Mus musculus: one gene and its partner. The protein of the gene in region 2 interacts with the protein of the main gene of each other region in a pairwise test. Links are inferred from orthologs where the notes say so. Each region holds a gene or a part of one and is shown on either strand. Other genes may lie near its edges.

What was found. The genes of interacting proteins can lie anywhere in the genome.
Region 1: the proteins of Kifc3 (region 2) and Nefl interact in binary tests that used the Homo sapiens proteins (3 or more experiments, as listed by UniProt). The two-hybrid records come from large-scale screens. The link is inferred for Mus musculus from reciprocal best matches to the Homo sapiens genes KIFC3 and NEFL.

Annotation. Positions count from the first base shown.
Region 1 is NC_000080.6:68,083,126-68,086,807, reverse strand, and holds the start of Nefl (neurofilament light polypeptide), read right to left. Parts: upstream 2,946-3,682; 5' UTR 2,846-2,945; coding exon 1,799-2,845; intron 835-1,798; coding exon 710-834; intron 322-709; coding exon 2-321; intron 1-1. UniProt on the Homo sapiens protein: Neurofilaments usually contain three intermediate filament proteins: NEFL, NEFM, and NEFH which are involved in the maintenance of neuronal caliber.
Region 2 is NC_000074.6:95,140,150-95,143,894, reverse strand, and holds the start of Kifc3 (kinesin-like protein KIFC3), read left to right. Parts: upstream 1-1,337; 5' UTR 1,338-1,463; intron 1,464-2,575; exon of another isoform or gene 2,576-3,309; intron 3,310-3,745. UniProt on the Homo sapiens protein: Minus-end microtubule-dependent motor protein. Involved in apically targeted transport. Required for zonula adherens maintenance.

The DNA of each region.
Region 1 (3,682 bases), on a different chromosome or scaffold from region 2:
CCTTCTTCCTCCTCAGCGCCTTCCTCTTCCTCTCCCTCCTCTTTCTCCTTCTCCTCCTCTTCTGCTTCTCCTTCAGAGGGGGGCTCATCCTTGGCCTCCTCAGCTTTCGTAGCCTCAATGGTCTCCTCGACCTCTGTCTGCTCTTCCTGGACGTGGCTGGTATAGTAGGCTGGGAAAGAGCGAGCAGACATCAAGTAGGAGCTGCTCTGCAAGCCACTGTAAGCAGAACGGCCGAAGACCTGCGAGCTCTGAGAGTAGCCGCTGGTTATGCTACCCACGCTGGTGAAACTGAGCCTGGTCTCTTCGCCTTCCAAGAGTTTTCTGGTGGAGAGGGAATGAAGAGTACAGTTAGAGCAAGGCTGGATGTGTTCATTGCTCTAAGCCCACATTCATTACTTTCCTCTACAACCAACCTCAAAGGCAAATACAAGAACAAATACGGTTAGGCATAATCAAAATTTAATAAGGAGTTCACGAGAGACCCCACCCAAAAAGACCTTCTATGCATCCCTATTAGGTTTAAAATATGAATGCTAAGAACAGGGCTTATGTTACTTCAGGGTTAATTCCCTACACATTTGTACCCTCTTGGAGGAAGACCAAAGTAGGACTATTCTAGAGCACGTGGGACTCACTATAACTGCACTGACTGGGTCATCTGCTCTGTCCTGAGCCGCCATGCCCACTGCCAGCACCACCCTGATGTTACCTGTAAGCTGCAATCTCGATGTCCAAGGCCATCTTGACATTGAGGAGGTCCTGGTACTCCTTCAGGTACCTGGCCATCTCGCTCTTCGTGCTTCTCAGCTCATTCTCCAGTTTGTTGATTGTGTCCTGTAGGAAGATTGTTTTAAAAAATTCAAAACACAAATCTCTACTGCATTTGTTTTACTGTAGTATCCATGATAAGTTCTGGTCTTAGTTAACTCCAAAGTGTACACCTTCCAGAAATCTCCCTTAAAATAATGGGGTGGGGTGGGGCATAGGGGGAGGGGTTGGCCTAAAATGCCCAGTCTAGTGAAGCAAGAGAAGGAGAGGAGGAAGAGGAGGGGAGTAGACTGATGTGAACAATTTTGAAAATTGTTCTCAATTGATTATGGTAAGCTGTCTTTTAAAACTACCAAATTGATGATGATATTATTATTATTATTAACCACCCTTGTCACATTTCTTTTAGCCAGGTCGCATTTGGGAAGGGGAATATATATATAGTGTGTGTGTGTTTGTCTAAATAAATATATAAATAAAAATTAAATTATATATATTTGTGTAGCTGTTTGTCTAAAATGCTTCCCCCCGCCAAAGATGAAGAACTTTTTTTTTAATGGACTGCAGTGATTAATTGCTAAAATATTGTGACTGTATTCTTGTGTCCCTATTAAAAAAAAAAACTATCCCAAGGCTGGGTGGCCCAAAACTAGTGAGAGCTAGCAGGCATATTTATTAACCAGGAGATCCAGGAAGTACTGAGGGTAACTTGGGAGTTAAGGGTTGTCAGTAAAGAGAAGGCATTACTTGGCAACGCCCAACTCCGACTCCCTCCGCCCCTTCCTCCCAACTCACCCCTAACAACCCTGATTCAACCAGAACAAGCAATCCCCAGGCAGCAGTCGCGCCCCGCCCCCTCCAAATGCCCCATCCTTTCCACAACCTCTCGGAAGCCAAGCCCTCTGATAGCTGCTCTGTGCTCTAGAACCCCCTAGCGTTCACTCTCTGGGTACACCCTGACTCCCCCCCCCCCCGCCGCCGCCCCTACCGTGGACCTCCCCACCCCCACTGAGCTTAAACCGTACTATACCTGCATGGCGCTAATGTCTGCATTCTGCTTGTCCTCTAGCTCCTGCAGCTGCTTCTCCAGAGCTTCGTTCATACCCCGGCAGGCTTCGATCTCCAGGGTCTTAGCCTTGAGCAGGCGGCGGCTTTCCGACACCTCGTCCTTGGCAGCGCGCACAGCGTCGGTGTTCTTGGCGGCGCTCTCGGTTAGCACGGTGAAGCGGCTCTTGAACCACTCTTCGGCGTTCTGCATGTTCTTGGCGGCCAGCTTCTCGTACTGAGCGCGGATGTCCTTGAGAGCGGCGGAGAGGTCGGGCTTGGAGGACACGTCCATCTCCACGGAGATCTGAGCATACTGGATCTGAGCCTGCAGCTCGGCGATCTCTTCCTCGTGCACCTTCTTCAGGAAAGCTATCTCGTCCATCAGGCTGTCGATGCGCTTCTCCAGCTCGGCGCGGGCGAGCGCGGCCTCATCCGCACCTTTGCGCGCTTCCATCAGCCGGCCCTCGGCGTCCTCGCGGCTCAGCACTTCTTCCTCATAGCGAGCCTGCAGGTTGCGCAGAGTCTCCTCCAGCCCCTCGCGCTCGCCCTGCAGCGCCTGCTTCTCGTTAGTGGCGTCTTCCGCTGCCAGCCGCAGATCGCGGATCTCCTGCTCGTACAGGGCGCGGAAGCGGGAAGGCTCAGAGTGTTTCTGGCGCAGCACCAACAGCTCGGCTTCCAGGACCTTGTTCTGCTGCTCCAGCTCGTGCACGCGCTCGATGAAGCTGGCGAAGCGATCGTTGAGGTCCTGCAGCTGTGCCTTCTCTTGTGTGCGGATAGACTTGAGGTCGTTGCTGATGGCGGCTACCTGGCTCAGATCGAGATTCTCCAGGCTGGGCATCAAAGAGCCAGAGCTGGACGAGTAGCTGCGGCGCACGGACAGCGAGGAGGAGACCGGCGCGGAGTAGCTGGAGTACGCGGAGCGCGCCGTGCTGTAGCCGCTGCGCACGCTGGAGATGTGCACCCGGGGCGTCTCCACATAGCGCCGCTTGTAGGAGGTCGAAAAGTACGGATCGTAGCCGAACGAACTCATGGTGGCGGCCGGTGCGCCCCTCAGGCCCGGGGCGGAGATGGGGGACCTAGAGAGAAGAACGGGGGAGAAGAGGGAAAGGGGAGGATGGATGGCTGTGTGCGGCTCGGCGCGGTCCTGCCACCTCTATTTATACGCCGGGACTCTGACGCAGACTGTGATCGATCGCCGTGCGCAGGCCAGTGGGGGCAGCGCGTTGCTGCAGCCAAGGGGAGGATTCTGCGCAAAAGCAAAGGCGGGGGCGAACGACAGAAGGCTAGCGAGCTGCGGCTCCAGCCTGGCCGCTTTTCTATGAGGACCCCTACTTTCTCTGAGACCCCCATAACTTCCCTGCTTATTCTTTTCCTTTCCTATTCCCCCGTCCCATCCTGCCTCTTAATACCTAAAGCCCACATCACTAGGACTCTTAAATGTTCCAAATAAAAAGGTTCGCGATCCCTACTGACACATCAACTTTTAACATCCAATGTCACAAAGACACCTTCACCCCACCCCACCCCACCCCACCCCACTCCCAGCTTTCCCTTTTTGCCTCAGGGACCCTCTCAAGCACCCTGATTCGTGTTTAAGCAGCACGTTTGGGTTGCTGACAATAGCTAATGTTCTTGCGGCATTACTGCAGGAAAAGTTTTGCATGTCTTTGTAGCTATTTTCTGACGTTTTCTTAAATTCGCCCCACTTTCTCCTGCCTCCTTTTATTTTTATTTCTATTTCTTTCCGTATTACTCTTCTTCTCAATACATAGGGAAATTGCACCACTACACACCATTGGAACCGCAGGACAGCGGGTGTTCATTTTGGCATTTTAAAACCTTTACAGCAGTTAATTTGTCTGACACC
Region 2 (3,745 bases):
GTGGGATCACAGTCACAAGGAACATCCATTACTTTTCTAATTGGAGAAAAGAGAACAATAAATGTTTTTATTAGTTAAAACAAAACAAAACAAAACCTGACTTTGGCTTTGCTAGAAGGAAACTGAAGTTTATGTCAGTGTCCCAATCCTTAAGGAAGACAAGGTTTCTCCTTTTATATGCAAACTTAAATGCAGGACACACCCCTTCCCCTCGAATAGAGCCTTCAATAGATGAGACAGTGCTTGCTTCCAGCTGGGGGCCTACTGGCCAGGCCTGGCCTGGCACCAGGCACCCTGTGGGGCCTAAGTCCTTGTCTCTGTTTTTGCTCCAGATTCTTGACACGTGGCTCAGCAGCGGAAGCGGGAAGCAGGCCCAGAGGAGGCAGCAAGGCCCTCCCTAGGTCTCTCCTAGGCCATTTCTGGCAAGCCTGAAGGGGTAGACCCTCACCCTCCTCAGGTTATCTGGGGACCATCAGCCTCTGCGGGACAGGCTCCTGTGGCACATTCTCCTTCCGCACTCCGGAGTGGGCATACTGGGGCTGGAATAAATGCCTCTCTGTTTGGGAGACAAAGAACAGAGTGGCTCCTTTGGGTCAGCAGTCTCTCTTGGCTGCCTGAGCCTTCTCTCCCCCAGGCCTCTTCAGTGGCTCCTAGACGCCCCAGGAAGGAGCTTTTAAAGACAGACGGTGGAGCTGTTTTGCCGGAGCTTAAGGGAATGCGTTACCTTAACAAACCCCAAGCCTGCTGCTCAAGAAAATATTTATTGGTTGGGGGTGCAGGGGTGCAGCTGGCAAGGCAGGATGCCAGGCTGGGCACAGAGAGAGGGTGCACGCCTGTGTAACAGAGCAGGTGAACGTGTGGTATGCGTGTGCTCGATCTCGCGTGCAAGAGCTTGTGTGAGGAAATGTATTAAGATGTGAGTCTGTGTGTGTGTGTGTGCCAGTTGTGTGTGGATCCTAGCTGGCGTGCGTGAAACTTCTGCACCTGGGTTTGGGGTGGAGTACAAACCGTTTTGAGGGTGAGTGTTAACGTTAACTCCTGGGTAGGAGTAATGGGTGAGGGCGAGTGTGCAGGTACGCGGTGTGCAGTGGAGGGTGTGAGCCAGCTCGGAAGGGGCAGGCAAGGTGCGCCTGGGCTCGTGCACCAGTGGGTGTGCGCACAAGGGTGTACCAGCCTGTGTCGGGTGGATGGGTAGGATAAGAGGGGAGGCATGCGCCTGGGGTGGGCGCGTGCGCGAGAGTGCGCGTGCCCCCCTCCCGAGCCCGTTACCATGGGAACGCGCCGCGGCCTGAGTTAATCATTTCCTGTGGAAAGTGCGGGAGGGGCGGGCACGGGGCGGGCCAAGGAGGCAGCGGCGGCGGCGTGGAGCTGCCTCGCGCGGGCGGGCGGGCCGGAGCCGGCCGGAGCGGGCCGAGCCCGGGGCGCTGCGGTGGCGGCGCTGGGATCCTGTCTCCGCTAGGCCGGTGAGTCGGGTCCCGGCAGGCTGGGGGTGGAATGGGACGGGCTCCTCCCGGCGCTCCTGCTGGGCGCCGCGCCCGCCCTGCCTGAGGACCCCCTCTTTCCCCGACCCGGTGGGTGTTGCGATCAGGCCCCAAGAGACCCGGCTGAGCGCGGGGCTCCCACTGTATTGGTCCAACCGGAGGATCTTGCAGAGACCTGGGCGTGAGGGTGGCACAGCCTCTGGGGTAGCGCCACCAAGACCGACTCCTTGGAGGGGGAATGTGCAGTGCCTACCTGGGAGCTGCGGGTCAACCAGTGAACCCCCTCCCCCTGCAAGGGTCGCTTCCAGGAAGGCTACTGTTTGGGCCCTCCCTCTGTGTCCCCCGAGTAGTTCTCCCCCATCCCCCGGGCAAGGCCCGAGGTGGGGTGCGGCAGCCCCTAGGTTAGGAGGGAGGGCCTCAGAAATACCCTCTCAAGCTGAGAGGGATCAAGTCATTGACAGCTGCGGCTGAGGAATCCCTGCAGGGAGGGGAGCCCAGAAGCTGTCTGTCCCCTCAGCCTTTCCACTGCAAGTAACAGGAGAACTCTGGCTGACACAGTGAAAGGCCGGGTCCTGAGACATTTTAAAGAGGAAGCTGGATTTAAATTCTTAAGTAGTATTTGTCACCCTTCCAAAACATACACACACACTTTAATGCATTTCTCAAGCTTGGGCCTTGGGACTACCCCTAGCTTCACCTTCCTTAGTGTCCTTCTGCCCCAGACTGGGTAAATGCCCTTCCTAGTCTGGTAGGACTTATTCCCCATGCCCTTCATAAAGGGGCAGTCTCCTTGGCTAGAGAGAGTCATTTGCTAGGAATGCAGTCCCAGAATGGTTTTGTGTATTGGAGTGGTTGGACTTCAGGGTTTGGGGATGGTAAGTTCTGCTGTCTGTATGGGTACCAGAGAGCAGAAAATTTGAAATCTGGATGCACCAGAACATGTGTGTGCCAGGGATACCCTAACCCAGTCTAGCCATGCCCCCTCCCCCAAATGCTCACCCAGGAGAACTAAGCTATCCCCTGCAGTGGTGTATAGGTGACTATGAGGTCTACACACACACACACACACACACACACACACACACACACAGAGAGAGAGAGAGAGAGAGAGAGAGAGAGAGAGAGTGAGTCTTTGCCCTGTCTCTGGTTTAAGACAGGAGGAAGGCAGATCTACCATCCTTAGCTAAACCCAGAGAAGCACATGCCCCTCCCCCAAACAGCTTCCGCATTCACCCACCAATGGGACAGTTTACCAAGAGATAGCAGCATCTTGGGCCCTTTGCCTGTGTCCATACTTCATATGTGTATTTTCTGATGTCAGCCCTGAGAAGTACAGTTTTCACCACTTGATACATGAAGATGATAAGGCAAAGAGCAGGTAATTAATTCTTCTAGGTGGCGGAGCCAAGGTCTGACCTAGCCCATAGCTCTACTGCATGATTTCCAGGTCACTAGAGGTCCCAGGACCCCAGACCTAACACCTGTGTAAGGAGATGATGCACTTGTCTCTTGGCCTAGAACCCTGGGCTTGTTTGAGATTCCTTGATACTCCTGACCTCACACCCGGGTTTCCAGCTGCTAAATTCAGCTGCCTTTTCCTCTTGGGGACCTAGCACACACCCTTCCTCTTTCTCCAGGCTGCCGCTCCAACTTCCCTTCCTGATAGCACAGAAATATGCTCCCCCACCTCCTTGACTGAGCTGATCTCTCCTAGAATCCTCTGCCCGTCATGGTCTCAGCTTGGTACGAGCACCCACAGAGGATGGTCCTCCCAGCTTCACCCCCTGGCCTGCAGGGTCGGCTTCATGCACTGCATCAGGCCACCTGGGTAGGGCATTTGTATCTGCTCTCTGCTCCTCTGGCTTCTCCCACTTTACACCCATCTCAAGGCATCCATGGGATGGGGGATGGGGTTGATCAGCATCTTTCTGACCCCTTCCCCCCACATTCCTGTCCTCTCCCAGTGAGTACCCCACACTTGACTTGTCTTCAGTCAGGGGAGGAAGAGACATGACCCACTGTCTTCAGTACTTGCCCCTAAAAGCATCAGATCAAAAGTCTTCAGTCTCTGACTCCAGATTCTTGCTATTTGTTTCCTGTCTCTAGATGCATTGTTCCTGTACCTCTGTCTACCCCTACATGTCACCTCTCCCCTGTTCTATATAGCATATTCTCTCAGCTCCATCTCCTCATCATCCTGGCTGAACTTCCCTCTAAGAAGGAAACAGCTGCCTCCTAGGCCCTTTCCAGTCCCTTGAGTCGCT